3 linked regions of the Drosophila melanogaster genome follow. The protein of the gene in region 3 interacts with the protein of the main gene of each other region in a pairwise test. Each region holds a gene or a part of one and is shown on either strand. Other genes may lie near its edges. The genes, in order: stum, CG15646 and Pdcd4.

Region 1 (5,104 bases), on a different chromosome or scaffold from region 3:
TTTCATCCATGGGCTTGGCACACTAGATTAGGGTCAGCACTATTCCCGAATTTTGATTAGCCAAGCCCAAAGTCGAGATTAGATTGCTGCGCTCTCTCAACCAGATCAAGTGAATCCGCCAAAGAGTTTGGGCTCGGCTAATCGAAGCCCCTTCAATTGGGGGAATCAGATCTGCATCTGCACACCTGCACTCGTGGACTCCACGCTGTCCACCTGTCTTGAGTCATGGCGCAAAAAAAAAAGAGGTTAGAAACAATAAAAACAACTTGCGGCGCGCCGCCAGTGCCAAGTTTTCATGTCCAAGGCGTATTTATGTCAACCGGAAGTAGGTTTACTGACCCACGTATACCCGTGTGGCTGGCCAAACGTGGACTTCGGCTTTCTTCGGTGGTTTCTTCACCTAAACCCGACTGGTCAGTTGCCGTGGAGCTCCACGGCGCAGGACGATGTATAAGAAGGTATTTGCCCACGGCGGATTAGTTTTTCTACGAACGGCGAGTGCAGTGCATCGGATCGATGCAAATGCGCGTTGAATTTTTTGGGTATTCAGTTTTTTATTTGAAAATCTCTCACCTTTTTTTTTATGACAATAACTCTACAAGTAACGGTGCATTAAAAATTAAAACCAAACTGCCTAAAATCGGATAGAAATCGTCGGATATATCGCAAACATTAAAAACTTCCAACTCGGTTGTGTAGTGAAAAAGCCCAAAACAATTAACTCGTAGATGTCTCTAGGAATTCCCCGACTTGTGACTCCGTGTGACTCCACTGGGGGTTCGAGTTGGACCCCACAAGGGGCGGGTTTTTGGGGGCTAACACGACATTAGCCAAGGATTTCTCCGGCACTGCCACTTAAAAGTCCCCCCGTTCCGAGGGATTCGTGGCTTTGGTTTGGGTGGTCTGTGTTTGCACACATACCTGTCTTTAGGCGTTATTGCTGCCACTGCCGTTGTTGTCTTGATGTTGCAACAGTGCCCGGCTGGCCAAGGAGTTCGTAGCTGCGGGCCAAGTGTTGTTGACTCCTAGCCGCTGCACAAGGCAACGCGGAATTTGTTGCGGTTTTGACCCTATTCCAAAGCCAAGGAAAGTGCAGTGTACTCGCCGAGGGTCTTATACTCACTCAGTCGAGTGCAGGAAAAGCGTCCTTCTGCCGAAGCCTTTTGCAATATTTATGGGCAGAGACACCTTTCACACAGTGATTAAGTGATCCTAATTTTTGGGCGACGCATAACTATTTTTTGACATTCTAGCGGATAAAATATTCAAACACTTAAAATAAGGATATATTTACTTTCAATACTAAATCAATAGGCGTATTTTAAACTGATTTTTTTGAACACAGTAAAGGAAAGTTTTTATTAATACCTATCATTACGTTCAATCAGAGCTCTTATGTGCAATCTCCAACTCCATAAAACTGCATTAAAGTGAAATGAGCGAAAGTGTTCATTGAAATACATGCGTGCATTCAATAGATACAAGTGGCATTAAAGTTATGAGGCATCCCGAAAAGTATGAAAAATTAGCTGACTGAGCTTCTCGGTGGCAGGCAGTGCGGCGTAGAAGTACAAAAGTGTTGGAACATCGCGTGCCACAGACATACCAACAGGTGTCACAGCCAGCCGGGGGAAACTGGGGGAAGCAATCAAAAGTTGTCTAAGAGGCAGAAAGAGCTGAGAAAGAAGCACACGCCGCACAGATGAACACAACGACATGCAAACGGCTAATGCAGCCGCCTCGCTAGGCGGCGAAATGCGGAAAACTCGCGGAAAAGTCGCGGCGAATTGGCGCCCCCGGTCGCCTTTTCTTTTCGGCTTTTCAGTTCGCCAGTCTCGATATCTCAGCGGGTCTGCGTGTGCAAACTGTTGGGGCACCGAGTGTGTGTGTGTGTGGGGGGGGGGGGCATTGTGTGCTGTTTTGGATTTGAAGTGTAGGCAATATTTCTCTTGAAGGCCTCCATTTTGCTCACTTACCGCTGGTCGGCCATCAGTTTAAGTTAGGCAGCGGCCACGTTTCGTCGCGTTTCCATTATTTGTTGCGGCTTTTCAGCAAATACATTCTATTTCCGAATTAGACTAAACTTAAAACCCAAATGTAAATTATATAATGCGCTCCAGGACCAAACTAACACAGTCAGTGTGGACGTGGCAGGTATTAAAATTCGTTATTCAAGTGTGACCGAGCGTTAATGAGATGCAAGAAAACTGCGTGTAATGCGGCAAGCGATTAAAAAACCAATTCGCAAATAGGAAGCTTAAGCCGCCTGGGAGCCGGCCAACTCCCCCAAAACGCGTCATGGCCAAAACAAAACGAAAGGAACGAAAAGGAGCCGGCCAAGTCACTTCCTTTTGGCCCAAAGTGTGTCACCGAAATTCGAGCGGCGGGCCATAAAATGTAGGTTAAATATTAGGCAGAGGAAAATCAATGCGAACAAAGGCCATTCATTCACACCTTTCCTCCACCTTCCCCCCCAAAACCTTCATGGGCTACGTCATTTCGCTAAAATATCTGCGTACCCAGCCGCACAGCTCCAATTAAACCATCGCCTTCTTCTGGTGATAGGATAGTCTCAGCCCGCTGGCTTCCACATCTGCCGGGTCGTTCGACTTCAAGTGCAGTCACTAATGCGGCAATTTGCAACATGCAACGCCGGTGCAGCCAGCCAAGCCGAAGCCATCCGCCCAAAAGCAAATCCCCATCCCCATTCCCCCCATTCAAGCCTTTGAGGCCTCCTCATCAAGTTATGCTCTCGTTAGCGCCAAGACAAGCGTTTGGGAGTTGGGAGTCCGACTCGGATTCGCATATAGCAGCAGGTGCATGGCATACCATAACGATTCCGATTTCAAATCGGTTTGGTTTCGGGGCGGCTTTATCAGCGCCTCGCACGCAGCTATTTATAGTTGAATGTGGAGTGAAATGGCATTAGAAAATAAAGCCGTGCAGTAATAATTACTCTACTATTTTTGCCACAACCAGTGATGGAAGCGGACGTATCCGGGCAGTTGTACCTAATTACTTTTTTTTAATTGCTGATGAATTTAAATTACTTTACTCAAGCTATTAAAAATTTAGGATATTTGAAAAAAGTTACTTGGTATGAAGACAGAAATTACTTTTATTATTATTTTTAAAAATTCGCCCAGGTAAACATACTCAATACCCTTTTCCATCACTGCGAATTGGCAATGAAACCGGCAGCCCTTCAGTTTCGCTCTCCGGTTTTTGGGACTGCCTACTCCGTGCTCCGTGCTCCTCGTTCCGTTATCCGTTCTCCGCCGGTGAAGGCGTCGCGTGTACGTCTCTCTGACATTGCAAGAGGGCCGGAAGGTCTCGCTGGTCGTCTGTCTGTGGAATCAAAAGATGTGCGCACATGGGTGTTGTGAGTGATTTTTAAATACATTCTGTTGCTTCGAATAAACAGCTCCTGGCGTCATTGGTTTTGTGGCACTTAAACTAAAGCGAAGGACGAACGCGGAGTGTCCTGCGTGGAAATCGGCTTCCAACTACTGCAACCACGACTGAATTTCGCAAAAACGCTGCAACAATGGATAGGAAATCATAGTGAATGCATGAGGGCCGAAGATCGGTTAGCACCCATGTCAAGCCATGCAGCAGACCCTCTCGTACTCATCATCATCGCCATCCCCATCCCCGATGCCCATGCCATCAGCCTCAGCCGCACAGACGCCGCCACCGAACCCGAATCTGACACCGAATCTGAACATACGTCCAAGTACGAACCCAATACCACGACCCAGATCCACTGGAGGCGAGTCCGCGTTCCAGCCGGCCATCATCCCGGTTGATTATAGCTATCGCACCCATACCACCCGCTCCATTCTCTCCGCCCAATCGATGGCACCCTCCACGTTCGCCTCCAATCAGAGCTTTGTGCGCCAGCCCTCGGAGTCGGATGCCCAGCCGTATAGTAGCCTCTTTGGGGATCCGGTTCCACCGCCTCTGCAGCCGGATGATTACTTCGGAACAGCAGCATTTGAGACGTTGCGAAATGGGTCTGTGGAACTGCCCAGCTCCGAGGAGGATGCGCTGGTGGCCGCCATGGCGCTGAACGCACTTATTCCTGCGGCCAGGGAACGCATCTTTCCGAGTGTCCCGTACTCGAGGACTCCCCGAGGATCCCTACTGCCTTATCTCCAGCCACCCGACATCCAGATTCTGCCCAACTCGAGCGGTGGCTCCAGTTCAGAGCAACTGGGCTCACCTAACTATCGGCTCCTGGCCCCCGATGACATTCTGAACAAGCCGGACGTTTATGATTTGGAGAACGAGGTCGAGGAGTACACCGTAGTCGGTCAGAGAATGTCTTTCGATGATGAGGAAGATGAGCCGACGAGGACTCCTAGCCAAGCGCCCGCCAAGTTGAGTGTGTCCAGCATCACGACGGAGGACCACAGGGGGTTGGTATTTGAATACACCAATATATTATCCAAACTAATCCTTCGTGATTACCTCCTCTTAGATTACTCAGTGACTCCTATTCGGGAAGGGATTGGTTCCGTCCGGCGCCACAGCACTTTCCAGAGTTCACACGCATCCCACGATTGCGGCCCAGCTCCAAAATGATTATGTCGATGAAGCAGGATGAAGGACCTCTCTCCCCACTGGCCACCATGATCCAGGACATGAACAGCTCGAGCAGCGGCGGAGAGGAGCGAGTGGCACCCAACCAAAGCAGGCCCGTTAGCAGGGACGTTGTACTCTCACCGAAGCAATATCTGGAGGAACAGTTGGGTCTGGAGAGAGGTAGCCAGAGGCAGTCGCTGGAGGACTATAGAATGCCACCTCCACCGGCAGACCCGCCCCCTTTCCGTAGAACTGACTTGACGGAGCAGGATGACAGCCGCAGTGTGGAGCCTGAACATAGCTTAAAGCGGGAAATGTCCCCAGTTATCATCAGGGATTCAATACCTATGGGCGGAGATTATAGGTAAGGTTATCCTGTGGAAAATATCCATAAAGATAATACATATATTCAAGTTTTTCTGTCCCCTCTAGAGTGGAGCAACCTCGTCCACACAAAAAGACTGCTTTCACGATACTTTCCACGGGACAGGCAGCTTCTTCTGCTCCTCGGCCTCCA
Region 2 (5,440 bases), 1.9 Mb from region 3:
GTATATCCTTTTCCTCTCTGTGCAGGATCCCATTCCGCTGGCCATCGTTGGAGAAACGTGCGGCGGCAAGGACATCTAGATAAAGTGAAAAGTGGGTAGGGAAAAGGTAATCTTGAATCACAAGCCGCACACTGATAGCGCCAGGACAGAGCGGCCGAGTTTTGAGGAAATCCGAGGAATCACACATAGGGACCCACAATGCACAATCCTTGGGCCGGACAGCTGTTCGCTCGGGGATTAGCACGGCTAGGCGAGCTCCTCTGCTCCCTCACCTTCTGCTTCTGCTTTCTCTCATTACTTTCGCCGGCGGGGCGCGCAAAATTATTAAAACCTGGCCCTGAATTATGGGCCATAATTTAGAATTTGTATTTGCTCAGAGCTTCCCTCTGGCTCCTTCGTCCTTCGTCCTTCTTCCTTCGATTTCCACTGCTTTCCCTTTTCTTCCGCTTTCCCACTCGATATGCCTGGCGGGCAATGGCAGGGGGTGGGGTTTGGTATTGGTGTGTCTGTGTGTGTTCACAGGACCCAGATCCTTTGATTGATTTGGGATCGCCGTGAAAAGCTGGCATCCATTGACAGGCAGGCACTTCAAGGACCAGAGGCTCTCGGATCGGCTTATTTGCCCAGGATCATGCGAAATGCCATGGAAAAGGATCTGCAGATCAATAGGTGATGCGAAACACAGGGAATAATTGGATCTGGCTAGGGAAGACTATATGGCGTATTGTTTAGACTGATTCTATTGTCAGTGCCTTGAATTTGGTATTTCGCAGCCTTAAATATTAAACATATTCGATTAATTCATAAATGATCAAAGTCGAAAGCATCAAGGATAAGTAATTTTGCATAAGGAAACTGCTTTTAAAGTTCTCATTAAAATATAGTATATATTTTCAGACTTACCGAATCCGCAGGATATAATTCTAAAAGTCACTCCTGACATCTTGCCAAACACTTCCCAAAATCAAATCTCAATCAATTTCGGAACATGTATATCAATCGCACAAATGATGATGGCCCAATGGAAGGTCCCTTGTGGGCCATTAATATTATATATGCCGATCGTTAGCCGGAGCATTTGTCAAGCATTATACGATGGAAATCCAAACTTGACAAATGCCAAGTGAAATGCCATGTGAGATGAATTGGAATGCAAAGCATTCGATTTCAATATCAACCCGATCGCTCCCGCTCCGGGGGGTGGGACGAGTTCAAATTGCCGGGCTAGTGGTGGTGCTACACTAGGTTTTCAAGTTCAGTCCAAGGGAATGTCCTTTCCGAGTCCCGAAATTCCTCAGCAGTCAACAGGGGAGAGAAATCGGGAGAGCGAACGAACGGCAATCTCACCTTCAATATTGAAAGGTGCTGTTGAAAAGGTGGTGGTTCCATTAGTACACTGTCAAAAAAGACTGTAGTTCAATACTTTTAAATGAACTAAAAATATGTAATAATCAACTATGATATATATTTAGGATATATTTCATTTGTATACAAAATTCCTAAATGTTATCTTTATGTGTGCATAAAACAAATTCGTAAATAGTTATCAAAATCTGTTTCAAATAGTTGGGTATCTTCTCATTCAAAAATCTGTAATACATTTAAAATATTTTGTATAGCTGGTCCCAAAGTACAACATATTTGTTTTCAGTGTGCCTCGTGAGACCGGGTTTCAAGCTCTGCGAGGTGAGCACGCAACGTTTGCGTGCGAGGGTAGAATTAGTCACTTTTCGTCTGTTGCAGCGACAGGACGTGTATTTCTCTGCGATCGCGAGCAGGAAATAAATTTCAAAATTTACAATTTTGATTTCCCAACACCCGTCTCGTTACGCCTATTTTCATTTTTTTTTTAAACGTGCAAAGAAAAAATACCACAAAATTTTATATTATTTTTCATTGTGAAACGAAGCAATTTCTGAACTTTGGATACCCCAAAAAAAAAAAAACGAAGAACGCGAAAAATTCCAAAAAAATATATACAAATAAAAAGGTAAAGATAAGTGAAGTGCATGAAATGGAAAACGAAAAGCCAGTGTGCATATTTTCGGGCTAAATGTGCATTAAAAATGCATTAAAGCAGAAGTGTCTGGGGCAGCGGGGTTTAATTAAAAACACCCCATTAAAATCGCCTAAAAACGTATAAATTGTGCGCGTGCGATTTTGGGTTATGTTTTGCTGGGTTTTAGCTCCTGCGTTTTGGTTTTGAGCTTGGGCAATGGGATATGGGCAATGGGCTATGGGTTAATGGGTTTTCGAACTCGGGCCACTTGGCCCAAGTGCTCGAGTGCTCTTCAGACCAAAACGAGAGCGGCGGCTGCAAAATGCGCAAAAATGCTAGCACGCACGTACATATCCCGGAATCGAGTAGATGAGCGAAATCGCTCACTCCTGCGGATCCCCCCTTATCGCCATCACTCCTCGAGTGGCCGGAGATCGACACCACTGGAGGATGGGGCAGAGGAATGGGAGTAGGACGAGGCAACAGAGTGTGCCGGCAGCACCACCATTTTGCCCAAGTTCACACGGCAAAAAATATATATGTTCTCCCAGCCACACTTTTTTTATCACTTGAATCTTCAGTCTCAAAATCATGCAGCTCAACAAATTTACTATTCAAAATGAATAATAATTATATTAGTAACTTTCTTGGCGAACTTAGTTCCCAAAATTTCTATTGATTTGCAAATTTAATGAAATGGTATATTGGACCGCTAATTTCTAATTTGACTATCAAGGGCTTTGCTTAAATATTTTATTTTTATAGTAAAGAATGTTGTAAACATTTTTCATTTCTATTGAAATTTGAATAGCTTATTGCTTTTATAATTTAATCGGGTACTAAATCTGGAACCAATTTTAATATCTTCTTTATTGTAACAAAGCCATTTAGATGCCAAATAATTCCCCAGATTCTGAAATTATTTGAACAATAGTTCAATCAGTTAAAAAATAATATAAATAAAATGTATAGATATTCCGATTTTTGCGCATAAATCCCCAAATTCCTGCCTGATTTTGGGTGATAATTTCTCCCTGTGCCGGCACACCACCCGAGCACACGATACGCGAGGCAGAACCTTGGGCTAAATCGCAGCTGGAGGGCAGTGCGTTGGTATGGCGAACAGGAGCGAACCGGAGGCCCAGAAAATCGCGAAGCTTTAGCGCGCTTTTCCTTTGTTCCCGGGCTCTTTGTGCCGGCTCAATTGTTCGCAAGGATATGCGGAACCAGAAACTCCTTGCGGAAATCGGGAAGCTGGCGTTCAGCTGTGCGAATCCTTGGCGAAATCCCAAGCAGGCCCCTGTGCAAACTCGTTTCGCTACAAGTTAGTCGGGTTTTTGCTCTGTTTTTGCTTTTTTTTTTTGCAATTCCATTCTGCTTGAGAAGCTTTGCAAATAGACAATCGCTAACTAGCCCTATCCTTTTTGCCACTTTTCCAGATATCTTGGCACCGCAGGAGCGACAGACAGCAGCTGCCAGGATGCTCAAGTGGGCTGTCAACCAGCCGCGAAACTCGTATCTGGCCAAGGAGCTGGCCATGGGATCGCAAACAGGATCGGAATCGGGATCGGGATCAGGATCTCTCGAGCAGAAGGCCGAAGTGGTGGGCTCCAGCTACAGCGAGTTCCACGCCCTGCGTGGCAAACTCAAGAGGAAGTCGATCGGAGTGGCGCCAGGCAAGGAGAACCAGCTGACCTCCACGCCGCTGCCGGCCAGCTCCTTGAGCCTCCATGCTCGCACACCACTGCTCAAGGACCTCAGCAACATCCTGGCCACGCCGCCATCGGGAGGAGCAAGTGGCGCTAGTGGGGCAACTGGAGGAGCAGCTGCTGTTCCCCTGAAGTTCGCCTGCACACTGCCCACCTTCGAGGCGGAGTACTCGCCCAATGCCGCCATCATTCCTGGCTCCCTGATCGCCCTGCGCGGCATGGGCATCCCGGACAGCTACTTCGAGAAGCCGCGCTACCTGGAGCAGAAGCCACTACCACATCCGCATCCCCATCCGCATCCAGCTCCTCCGATCGGCGAACAGAATACGCTCAGTTCCAGCCAGATGGGCGATGTGACCCTGGAGCGTATGATCGATGCCATCCTCGAGAGCAACCGCAAGGTGCTGCCCAACGCCAGACAGCAACAGCACCAGCATCAGCACCGCCAGCCCAGGCAGCATCTCCGCCAGCGGCACAGGCTCAGGCAGCAGGTGCTCCGGAGCAGCCACGGACACGGGCACGGGCACGGCTCCACCCAGACGCCATCGCCCACCTACCGCCCCGCCTTCGATCCGGCCAGCGATCTGTGCGAGTACTGGAAGTCGCCCTCGCGGAGGGATTCCCTGCCAGCGGAGGGCTTCGAGGAGCGGGAGGTGCGCTCCCCCGTGCCCACCGAATCCGAATCGCAGGATGCCAAGCGGCATTCCCTGCAGCTGCGCAGGCAGCGGGTGGTGCGGCGCAAGCGAAAGATCACCACCAAGATCTCCTCCAGCGTCAGGCAGTCGGCGCAGAAGCTGCTCGCAGCGGCCAGGTCCGGATCTGCAGTGCCCAGCCAGCGGTTCGCCCAGAAGAGGCGCCACATTAGCCCGGACAGTGGGCACAACTCGACCAGCGATTTTGAGGAGGAGCTGGTGGCCATGGGATCATGCGGCGGGCGGGTGGAGGCGGTTACCAAGCGGCGGCTGAGCTTCTCCTACGCCGAGGATCTGTTCGTGGAGAAGTGACCCAATGCGGGTCATGTCCATATGTTGATTTTTGACTTCTGTTTGGTTATAACCTAAACCTTTTTTTTTTTTTTGAGTGGCTAAAAGCGCAGCATTGCCTTGGAATACGAATGTTGAAACAGATCCTATAATTACCTAAGAATCCTTTTTTTTTCTGACAAATAAAAAACCGATTTGAAAAACTAGTTGAATTGCGAATTTATTATTCCTAATATCCTAAAAAAGGAAAGTTCGATTTGTTACCATTAAATATGAACATTTAATTCTTAAAAGGATGTAAAGATCATTTTGCCGCGTAAACGCAATTGGGTCCTTGTTAGCGTTAGATAAGTACAACCATTAATTAGAGATAAACTGTCTTCTACGTGGGGATTACTTGGCAATATTTCAGAGGCAATATTCTAGAGTTGAAGTTAAACTGGATTCTCACGTTCCGCCCATGAATTCATCACCGTCGACCTTTCATTTCCAACCGGCGAGCTGGCAGGATATGCTGGATAATATGCACTGAGCTAGAGGGTGCGGGAGTAACAGTTGTGGTAGTAAAAATGTTGCGGCATATCCTGCGAGTCCTTTACACGGCACTTATCACGCACCTGTGCACCACCAAATGGCGAACCACCAACAACTACAAACGACAAACGACAGGCTACAAAACGGTGGGCATTTGCATAAATTTGCATAGAATCGACCAAATTGTACGGTCAACGGCTTGTATCGAGGGTTTT
Region 3 (4,908 bases):
TCGCCTTAAAGACGGGATGTTAGTCAGCGAAAGTTTTACTTGTTTATTGTGCGCGTCGCGGCTGTGAAAAACATGGAACTAAAATAAATACACATGATGTCTGGCACGTAGCCGACAATGGCCCCTCAGAAACCCCTTCTTTCCAAGTTCAGTTAGGTTTCTTTTTCGGGCTATTCAAATCTAATAGTTTTTGCCTAAATATAGAACAAGCTCTTTGGCATGCCCATAAATTTAATGCTCACAATAATACAAAGTAATTGTAATGACAAGATCAGAAGTCAATATATACTATGTACAAATGACTGGGGTCGCTATTTTACGGATTTTTTTTTGTAAGTGCTAACAATTTTGCAAAAAGTTTCTAGGTTTTCATTTTTAAGATATACCCATAATAATATGTTCAGCTTTCGCGCCATTTTTTTGACCGCATCTGTATATAATAACGGTACTGCGTCTTGGAAATTGCAAATGTTTGTCAATGGGCGTGGGTGTGACAGGGATAGCGATAGGGACATGTATCGAAACTCCCCTATAGACGAAATTCAAGGTCACGCAACAACAACAACACCAAAGCTACTACATAATTTTGTTACCGTTAAAGCTTTGCAACCCCCACAAGCAATATAGCCGTCTCCTTCGCACTAACTCTAAATTGAAAGTTGCTTGTATTTCCATGCCTATGTAATTGCTTTTGGTGTACATAAGTGCCTACATACATACACATGTTTTACTTTTCCAGCTGCTTTTGTTTTCCCTATTTATTTGAAATGTTTTTATGCTGTTTTGCACTTTTAATTTAAATGCTATATAGCACAAACATAAATATGTATAAAATCAAATCAAACAAACCAACACGAATACATAATATGATTTATTTAAATTATGTACATTCGTTTGATAAACTTTTCTGATTAATTATCGCAATTTTCGGTTGTAAAATTGTCGATTTGGCACTCTTCTCATACAATTCTTTCATCCATGTACATATAGATGTCAGCATAATACAAATGAAAACAAAGATAACGTGCAAAAAAGAGCCGCATGTGTTGTTTTTTTTTTTGTGTTTTCATGTGTTGTTTTTGTTTTTTGAGTGCTTTTTATATTGCGCCGCTTGTGCTTTCTCCTCTTCTTTAAACGCGGATTCTTATGTATTTCCCCCTCTGTAATATGGATGTACATACATATACATATGCTGTTACCGGTCTTATGTTTGTTTTGCCCGGTATAACCTTGAAAATTTTGTGCGCCTCACGAATTTCTATGTTTTTATTGCCGTCTCCTTCCGGTCTCTTTCTCATCTGATTCTTCATCTCCTTCTTTCGCACTTGTTGTGCCCCCTTTTTCGGATAACAACAACAACAGAAATAACAAAATGAACGCTTTTCAGCATTTTTTTCGAATCTCTTTTCCACCTTCGCGCTTTTTATTGATGCGTGTCCGAAATTATTTTTTAACCCCGAAATCAGGAAAAGGTTGAGTTTGTAAGAAGTGGAGAGAGAGATAAAGAGGAGCGATGGAAAAGAGCATAAAAATAAAGTGACGCTGTCGAAATTGCGTCGCAAACATTTCGCAAAAAATAAAATACATAAGCAATGTCCAATAAAAAGAACAAGAAAAAGAAGCAGAGACGTTCTCACCATTGAATGCTGTTGTTTGTTTTTTTTAACAGAAGAGATCGAACTATTAGGCGCACATGAATTGCATAAATAGATATAAAAGAAATTAAAAACCAATTTGTGTCACCCACTCTTTTTGAAACTACAGAATAAATTTGATGGTTTTGTTATGCCTTTTATAAACTGAGAACTGTATTTGTTTGGCATCCAGTAACCAGAAAAATTGAAATTTTTTTGTATTTTGCCTGGAATTGTTTGCAAAATTCCCCGTCCAGAACCCTTCTAATAACACATCTCGGGTTTGGAGTCATATTATACTTTAGGTCATATTGCATTTGCATCTGATTTTGTTAAATACTTAAATAATCGTTAATTATGCAGAGTGAATTGTACCACCACTGTGAGCCAGCAATTCTGGTAGATAATATGGGAAAACAAAATCGGATGACATGGAAACATTGGACGGGGCGCCGAATGCAAATAAACCTCGAGACAACGAAAATAAAATCAAAAAGCCTAAGGAACAAGTTTGGCAGGCAGAAAAAAAAACAAACAAATTCACCCCCCATCCAATGTGGGCAGCTGTTTTTTTTTTCGGTTTCGGCTTTCCTCGTTTCAGTTTTTCTCGAATTTTCGGGTGCGTGCGTGTGTGCCGGTTGATTTTATCACGTAGACCAACGTTTTCCAATTGGAGCAAATAACGCGCATCAACAAATTCTTAAATTTCACCTATTTTTATTGAAATCATCTAATATGGCATAATTTTGTGACCGCGACTGTAATTTCGTTTTTGCTTTTATATTCGCATTCGCCGGCAGTTTTTTTCGCTTGCTTCTTTGAATTGGTCTTCGTCAAGATCGATGTTGTTGTTGCTGCTGCTGCTGTTTCTGCGTTTTTTTTTATTTTGCCACTTACCTAAGTGCTTTTTGTTTTGTCTCTCCGGCTGTTTCGCTCGCTCTCTCTACTTCTGTCTTTGATGCTGCTGCTGCAACAAGAACAAAAACTAACGACACGACTGCAACGACGTTGGCCCACTGCAGTTGACGTTGACGGCGGCTGCGCTGCTTTTATACGATGAGGAGCCTGTTTAATAGTTGTTGCTTTTCTTCGTGGGCTCCTTTATTTTTTCCCTGCCTCTCTTTCTCTTCTTATATGCGTGCGGGGGAGAGGGGTTGGCAAGGCAAATGGCAAAAAATGCACTCAAATATCTTGTGTCTCACAGAAAAAAAATACACAAGTGTGTGAGTGTTTACTAAAAGGCTCCTTCACACGCGCATACACACACTCGCACACCCACAACTATTCAGTTGCGTGTGCTGTTTTTTATGCCTTATTCACCTTCGCTTTTGTTGTTTTTGCCGCTTAACGATGTGAACTTTTGATTTCTTTTTCAGTAGGATTGGAACAAAAAGGATTGAAGAACCGCAGAATAAGGAACCAATAACGCACACTGTTGTTCACGCCGTGAAAACTCAACTCGACTGAACCAGAGAGCGACGAGACGTGGGTTTTTATACTTTTTCGGCGAGACCGTGCTGCCAGACTGTTCGATTCTGGTAAGGTGGTGGGTTATAAAAGCGCACTTGGCGAAGCTTCCCCTTAAAACGGGGAAGTTTATTAAAAAGTTTGCAAATATATGTAAATACAAATTCAATCCTATGTAGTAAGCCTGCCTATGAGGAAAACTAAGATAAACGAAACTTATTGAATTTTGATGGCTTCTGGGAATGGTCCAACAGAGTGGCATCTCAGAGAAGTAGTTTTTAAAAGAAAAAGGAAAGAAATGCATACAAGCAAACATATGCATATTTAGTAAAAACAATGAAACATTACTTTATTTACACACTCACTGGATGTATATATATACTCGCCCAATGATCTTACCTTTTTATCAAGATTTAAAAACATTCAATTCAGTAAAATCTTATTTTCCAGGAATTTTTGAACAGGGCGGGCAGCTACATAACCCAAATTGCAGCACATTTCCAATTGGCGGCAGAAAGCGATGCAAAAGAAAACGAAGTAAATATTGAACAGGAATTGCTGTACATTTCCAAGTGGCGGCAGAAAGCAAAAAAAAAAAACAAAATTGCCGCCAATTGTGGCTCTCTTATTTGTAATTTTAATTACCATATGAATATTTATGAAATTATATGTTGAAGATTCCTTGAATTAACTCTTATTAATTTTTAATTTGAATACATTTTTAAATAAACGCTGATCTATGCTAACATAAAACGCTCCTTTTTCGAAATGTATGAAATATGTTTATTTGTATGTATGTTGTATATGTATATGTATGTATTCATATGATGTATGTAAGTAAGTAAGTATGTTCATAGATTAAGGAAAAGTATTCAAATCCATTAATCGCTTGCGTTCCTTTTCGCGGAATGCCCGGCGAGAGGAGCGCGTAGCTCCGTGCAGACGACGAATGATAGGGTTCTTCTCACAGTGGATATTCGGATCATATGTCGAAACCGGCGGGTCGGCATCCCAGTCCTTGGCATCACTTTCCTTGGCATCACAGTCCTTGGCATCTTCTTTTGCGTCGCTGTGGCTCTCCTCGCGTAAGTAGCTCGGGCACTTGATGATATGTTCCTGCAAATGGGATAAACAATTGAATTTAATATTTGCTTACATACATATAATATATATTCATAACCTACATATATATCGGCAATAGGGTACATATGGGTTCTGTTATATGGACAGCGAGCTAATTCGTCCGATGGAAATTTCTTGGCACAAAGCGGCAAATGGTAGGGCATTTTAAACAGCATTACCAAATGCGAGCTAGAGTTGGGACAATTGACATATTCATAAAGTTTTGGATCCGCAGACATTTTTACAACTAGTTTTGTTCGCCTTCTGCGAACTTCCCCTTCGTCAACTTCAAAGTGAGCATAGAATTTCGCAACAACAATTCTATTCAAATCTCCTACAGCGTTTGGTATTTTTAATAGAAGCTTGCAGTATTTTTTTCAAAATGAGCAGAGAATTTCGCAACAACAATTCTATTCAAATCTCCTACAGCGTTTGGTATTTTTAATAGAAGCTTGCAGTATTTTTTTTTCTTAAAATAATAATATAAAAATACAAACGTTCGATTGTTTGCAGTGCTTGTGTAAATTATAAAAATGCATTCTGAAATATATTCATTTGTAAATAATTTATTATGTTATTTACTAAATGCGATAATTCCAACACTTGACAGCCCTAAGGAGCGCTGCCATACTGTGTTCTATATCGATAACCGATAGTCCGGCGATAGACGTTGTTTACCTCTTTT

Evidence for each region.
Region 1: the proteins of Pdcd4 (region 3) and stum interact in a two-hybrid assay, tested with the Drosophila melanogaster proteins (one large-scale study listed by BioGRID).
Region 2: the proteins of Pdcd4 (region 3) and CG15646 interact in a two-hybrid assay, tested with the Drosophila melanogaster proteins (one large-scale study listed by BioGRID).

The regions. Positions count from the first base shown.
Region 1 is NT_033778.4:21,672,906-21,678,009, forward strand, and holds the start of stum (stumble), read left to right. Parts: upstream 1-1,995; 5' UTR 1,996-2,397; intron 2,398-3,168; exon of another isoform or gene 3,169-3,424; 5' UTR 3,425-3,609; coding exon 3,610-4,421; intron 4,422-4,483; coding exon 4,484-4,951; intron 4,952-5,019; coding exon 5,020-5,104.
Region 2 is NC_004354.4:15,667,334-15,672,773, reverse strand, and holds CG15646 (uncharacterized protein), read left to right. Parts: upstream 1-1,744; 5' UTR 1,745-1,990; intron 1,991-2,976; exon of another isoform or gene 2,977-3,323; intron 3,324-3,438; 5' UTR 3,439-3,479; coding exon 3,480-4,712; 3' UTR 4,713-4,889; downstream 4,890-5,440.
Region 3 is NC_004354.4:13,752,299-13,757,206, forward strand, and holds the start of Pdcd4 (programmed cell death 4), read right to left. Parts: upstream 3,109-4,908; 5' UTR 2,955-3,108; exon of another isoform or gene 2,532-2,954; intron 1-2,531. Other genes in the region: CG32625 (uncharacterized protein), read right to left, coding at 3,960-4,217, 4,286-4,462.